Yarrowia lipolytica: one gene and its partner. The protein of the gene in region 1 interacts with the protein of each later gene in a pairwise test. Links are inferred from orthologs where the notes say so. Each region holds a gene or a part of one and is shown in the gene's direction. Other genes may lie near its edges.

Region 1 (3,761 bases):
CGGTCAACTCCTCGCTTTTGTCGGAGGCGCGATTCTCCTGTTATAAGCCATACTCTTCTCTCACAACGGTGTTGTCATACAATGATATAGCTGTTTTGGTTACAGAAATACCAGTGTCCATGTAGGTCGAACCTTTTGTTGCTTGGTATGTTGACTCTTTCTCCTTCTCCTGTTTTGATTCTAACAGACTAACTGTCTGTCTCCAATACTTGTAAAAGTCGTCAGTACAGACCCAGCTCTGCGGTCAATGAACAGACACAGTTGAGGACTCAAGAGTTCAAATTCGTGTTAAAAAAAAAAGCATTCAAATACACTCAAAGTCGCCTAGCTTAGTCATTCTCTGTCGGTGGATCTTGAGAGCCCGTGTTGTATGTTGTTCAGACATACGTTGATGGACACAACAGAACATAACGGTGTCTTGAACAATAGCAAGAGTTTTATAAATCTCGCCAAATGGATGTAGCCATTGGTTGAAACGTTCATTGAAACATCTCTGATACTTCCTCCTATCGCCAGAACATGTTTATGACCATCCAAAGGCCTCCTTTTTGAAAACAAAAGTCACTAGTAAACTGCCCTACCACAGCTTGGAAACCTGGGAAATTATCATCTGGCGAGATCCAGTGAACAGTCTGGCGACATAAAATAACTTCATTCTTCTCTTCAGCTCGATATTGTGCAACAAGCACATCATAGCCAGAGTCCTCACTGCTGAACGCCCGTCCTCTACAATTAATAGAGCCATTGACAACCTGGAGACTTAACAGAAGTCCTTCTAGCATCATTTGCTGCCATATTTAAAAAAATCAGCTCTCTGCCACAATTTTTCGAGCTCGATTGTAAGAGTCGAACCAGTTTTCAAAAACCTATCTCCGCCTAGTTGGACTTTAGTTAAGACTGAAAGTGACCTGGGGGTCCAAATAATGGGTTCCAGGGAAGCGACCAAAACATAACCACTACCATTCAATTTAGCTCTCAACGCCTCATTTCCTCATCCCAAGTTCACCCTACTTTCTCATACAATATTTCCACATACTCGCACTTCCGTATCCGGCTCGTACTCAAATTTACTTATCCTGTACTTGACCTTTCCCAACAGAATCCCAACAGAACATATCCACCAAGTCATAACCTATCCCGATCCAAATCTACACACATTATGTTTCTCTCTCTCTCTTAATTGCTCATAACCTGTAGTTGGTCACGTGCCTTATCACGTTCACCGAACACCAATTATTCCACACGCGCGAGCTGAGGTTCATGCATGAGTGCCCATCCAACCACATTTGATTATAATATTTAGAGTTCCTAGGGTGGACTTAGTAATCGTAGACGGGGCCATTTATCTGGCGATGTAGTAGTCCAAATACAAAAATAATTACATGGCCATTTTCTCCTCATTCAGATGTTCATTTTGATACCCCCAACCCCCCAAATTGTCACACCTGCATGTTCACATATCAGATCCTCCAAACCCCCACCCCAACCTTTCCTCTACACACAGCAATGTCCGACGTAACGCATTTTTCGAAAGTCGTGGCGGCCACGGCGTCGACGTTGGTGTCGGGCGATCTGAGCCAGAGTCACGTGATGCGCGACATTTCGCGGCCCGCGTTCCAGAAGCGAATTTTTTCCTTCTCGAAGCGGCCGTCCGAGTTGGTTCGCATCACCTCTTCTTCCAAGGACGTTTTGTTGCCGGATGAGATGCTGGTGGACATTCCCAGCAACGAAAATCAGTTTTCGCTGTTTCAGGGCTTCCAGGCCACGCTTCCGGAGCACTCTGTGGGCTCTCAGCTGCTTCTGGGGGATGGATCAAAAGTCGGCGAAAAAAGTGCTCGAGAACAGCTGGTGGAGGGCAAGAAGAGCCTGAGTCACAAGCTGGACTTGTTGGAGGTGCGCAAGGCACTGGCGGCAAATGAAATCACCGAGATTGACGCTCGAGTGGCGCACTTGCAGTCCATGCGACAGATTGTGTTTGACAGAGTGGCGTCTTTGGAGCAGCAGGAGTTCCAGCTGGAAAGTGAAGTGCTGCGAATCGATGCAGAGCTGGAACAGATGGAGGAGGAGAAGGAGGAGGTAATCCAGAGACATGATTACGAGACCCGAACCCCGGAGGAGTTGGAGGATGATGTGGTCGATCTGAAGAGTGTGTCTGAGAAACTACAGAGCGCAAGTCAAAAGACCCTTCCCCGACGAAACCTCAGCCGACGAAAAACGCAACCCACTCTGCAACAGTACTACGAGCCAGGCAACAAGATCCGACAAATCAAAGCGCATTCCGATTCGGTCACGTGCCTGGACTTTGACATTCCGTTCGGAACCATGGTTTCTGCAGGCATGGATCTGGGACTCAAGGTGTGGGACCTGTCACGTGGCGATCTCGTGACCGATCTCAAGGGCCACAATGCATCAGTTACGTGTCTTCAGGTCGACAATAACGTGCTTGCCACCGGATCAGCTGACGCTACCATTCGGGTCTGGAACCTCGACCAGGTGGTTAGTAATCCCGATGCCCAGGATGAAGGTGATGATGCCTACACCATTCACGTGCTCGACAGTCACGTGGGTGAAATCTCTGCCATTCATTTCTCAGACCATACGCTGGTGTCTGGTTCTGCTGACAAAACCATTCGACAATGGGATCTCAACACTGGACGATGTGTTCAGACTCTGGACGTGATTTGGGCCAATTCTGCGCAGAATGCGCTGTACTCGAACGATCGGCTCCGAACCGGGTTCGACGCAAACGCACCCTTCATCGGCGCAGTGCAGTGCAGAGATGCAGCCCTTGCCACCGGTACCGCTGACGGTATTGTGCGTCTTTGGGATTTGCGGTCCGGACAGGTGCAGCGAACCCTACAGGGCCATACCGCTGCGGTAACGTGTCTGCAGTTTGACGACGTGCATCTTGCAACCGGATCTCGTGACCGGTCTGTTCGAATCTGGGATCTGCGAATGGGCAACATCTTTGACGCGTTTGCGTATGATTCGCCCATTACTTCGTTGGATTTCGACAACCGAAGAATCGCCAGTACCAATGGAGAAAACACCGTCAAGATTTATGACAGAGCAGCTGAGAAGCATTGGAGTCTGGGTCGAGGAGAGGGAGATCCCGAGGCGCCAGAAAGCACGGTGGTGAAGACCAAGGAAGGCTATTTGGTGGAAGGTGGTGGAGATGGAGTGGTGGGTGTGTGGGCCTGTTAGTACTAGCGATGCGAGTACTAATAATTTTGGGATCATGAGCGGAGCGAATTGTTTCATTTCACGGGACATTGTGAGCGAAGCTAGGTCGTGGAATCGTGAGAAGACAAATGGTCTCAACTACTCTCATGGGTGCCACCGAAAATGAGCGGAGCAGAGGCCCTCAATGCTGCCAGAGATGTTTGCTGTCTTCACCATTTGCAGCAATGAAAATGGGTGGTGTAGACTGTGTCTCGTGTCCGGAATCATGTTGACAGTTGGTGTGAGGCAGACTGAACTTGCCCGTTACTGCTACTCAGCAGTTGATGTTTGGCTTACCATAAGAGTGTCAACCGCCCCACAGTTTTCTTTCCAGGTGTTTTTACCCACAGTCAGCTATCCAGGAAAAGCCCAGAGAGGCAATATGTATATAAGATAGATTGAGTGTGATGACCGGAAGTGAGTGGCTCAAATCCACCAGATAGCAATTCGTAAACGTGTTGTAGATTACTGGTGATACCTGAACTGGTTATAGAGTATACCCCACGGGATATAAGGCACTAGAGAGCCCCAATCGTCAA
Region 2 (2,581 bases), on another chromosome or scaffold:
CGTCATCTGAGATACGATGCGTACCGTACTCGTATTTGTTGTAAGTGTTTGATCTTCCAATCTAGCCACAGTATATACAGTAATAATTACAGCACATCTGGTACTCACACCAACATCGTACAAGTACGTATCTTATCTCACAGAGAAAAAAGGAAAAACGACGACAGCCGAGCAGAGCACAGGGTTTCAGCTATCGTGCTTGCAACCGAGACATGGCATCGTATTCGTGACTTCAAAAGTCTCTTCTCTTGGTGCGATATTATTTAAAAACTGCAAGCTTGCCTTAGTTAATATATCACTCCCCTTCGTTCACTCTTGGCCCACTGGGCTCTCTGTACGGCACGAACGCGCCTAAGGTCTAACTTGAAAGATATCTACAAGTACTGGTGATAGCAGCCATATTCAGCTTATTAATCAAAATGATCTTATCGGATCCGTTCCACAGCCGATCACTTTACGACTATCAATCGTAGAGTTTCTCGGAGTCCGACCGAGCCGAAGCACACTTCATTGTGAATTGTGAATTGCATGACGTCTGAGAAAACCCCATTTCGATCTGAAGCAACATCTATTATTTATTTTTACAAGCAGAAGAATCACATTGTCATCTCTCCTTCAACTTTCAAAGCTTTTGGGCGCTAATCAGATGTACAGGACCTTTTTTTCAAGTGCACGCCACAATAATAGTGTATGAAATACCGACGATACTTATTTGTAGTTGAGAACATCAGGATAGGTCACAAGAGATTACCTATTTCATGCACCAAAAATCACGATAGCGCATCAATTATTGCACCTCATCCTCTGAATGTTGTTTTCCGAGAAACCAGCTAGATATTCCGCACAACCGCTAATCGAACCCACACACACAACAAAGGCATCACAGACAACGCCTCGACCTCCACGTGACCTGAATCAGGCTTGCAAATCAACTCTGATCAAATAGTCCAACCAACCTCAACACACACAATGAGACCATTTCTCAAGAAGGCACCCATTAAAGCCCTGCGTCAGGCTTCTGGCTATTCTGGCTCCCTCAGCAACCTGCGTGTCCAATGGGCTCGTCCTGATATCGGACGAACTTCTCTTTCTGCCAATGCATCCACCCAGGCTGACGTTCTGGCTCGATACCAGGATAAGCTGAAGCAGAAGGCTGCCGCCGAGGGCGTGGAGTCTGTTGACGAGCTCAAGGAGAAGCTTGCTCCAGAGATTGAGGCTACTCTCAAGAAGCTCAATGAGTCTGATCCTCTCGCCAAGGTGCTGGAACAGGCCTGGAGTGAAAAAAAGACGATCCTTGAAGAGGGAGGAGAGGAGGCCAAGACTCTGACTGAGAAGCTTGGCGAGGTTCCCCCCGTTCCGAAGAACGAGCTCAAGAACCTCGACAGCTTCGTCAAGCTGGACAAGTTTAAGGAACTTGGAAAGCAAGAAATTGAGTTCCTGTGGAGAGCCCGACATATTAACAACGAGCGCGCTCTGTGTGCTGTCGTTGACCCCCAGCTCTTCTACAAGATGTTCCTCAATGGCCGAAAGCACCCCATGTTCGTTCTGCCACTGCCCAAGGGAGACGAGGGATGTGAGATGCACATTGTGCAGTGGAACTTTGTTGGAGAGCACCTGACCCACGTCATCTTCACCACTCTGGCCGAGTTCAAGCTCCACCAGGACTTCGCTAGACCCCATACAACTCTCATGTTCCACACTGACCTTGCTGCTGACAAGGACTGTGTTCTTCTGAATGGTCAGGTCGAGAAGGACTCTGCCATGTCTCTCCAGGATGCCCAGTTCCTTATCCTGGCTCTCCAGGAGTTCTACGGAGCTACCATCACCGACCCAGAGACCACAAAGCGACGACAAGCTCTTCTGCAGTCCTTCACAGAGGGCTCCGACAACTTCCCCATCGATATGGTGATCGAGGAGATTGAGGCTTTCACCAAGTGAACATTGTAGATAGAAGTACATACTGAATTGATAGACGTACATACTGTAAGTGTGCGAATGAACTGTTGTTGTGTACCTTGCGATCTACTGAAGACCATATAAAGACATAAAGACGAGATTAATTAATATAACTGGCACTACAATTGACTGGTAAGTTCTGGAAGTTGACTGTGACATCGAGAACACAACAGTATGTATGTACTACAATGATATTACCTGCCATCACAAAGGTAGATATCCCTTAGTTGTATGAGATTCTTATAATAGTTTCCACCAAATCATTTCAGATCTTAAAGGTACAGTACATACTGATTTGGTAGAGAGACTTGCGGTGGAATTTGTTTCGAACTTCTACAGCATGTATTAAACGCTCCTCCTGTAGGTAAGTGACTTTGTAGACCAGTTCTCTGAACTGTACTTAGAAAAATTTAAGGATGTAGAAGAAAATGACAAAATGACATATTTGTGTTCACGTGATTTGTTTTGTTTGTTGTTTTTTTTTTTAAAAAAAGAACCTCTCGTGCGGGTGTTCCTTATTTTCTCCAAAGCCACTGCTACAGTATATAAGTAATTGTAATTATTAATAGATCTGTAGTCCAACCCCATCTTAACTTTTGGTGCGATATCGGAGCTGCAGCGTGTG

The links. The genes of interacting proteins can lie anywhere in the genome.
Region 2: the proteins of YALI1_C31281g (region 1) and YALI1_B22533g interact in a two-hybrid assay, tested with the Schizosaccharomyces pombe proteins (2 studies listed by BioGRID). The link is inferred for Yarrowia lipolytica from reciprocal best matches to the Schizosaccharomyces pombe genes mdv1 and atp11.

The regions. Positions count from the first base shown.
Region 1 is NC_090772.1:3,126,652-3,130,412, forward strand, and holds YALI1_C31281g (uncharacterized protein), read left to right. Parts: upstream 1-1,449; coding exon 1,450-3,204; downstream 3,205-3,761. Other genes in the region: YALI1_C31299g (uncharacterized protein), read left to right, coding at 3,312-3,450, 3,501-3,619.
Region 2 is NC_090771.1:2,252,337-2,254,917, forward strand, and holds YALI1_B22533g (uncharacterized protein), read left to right. Parts: upstream 1-969; coding exon 970-1,938; downstream 1,939-2,581. UniProt on the Schizosaccharomyces pombe protein: Essential for the assembly of the mitochondrial F1-F0 complex. May interact with the alpha and/or beta subunits of F1-ATPase.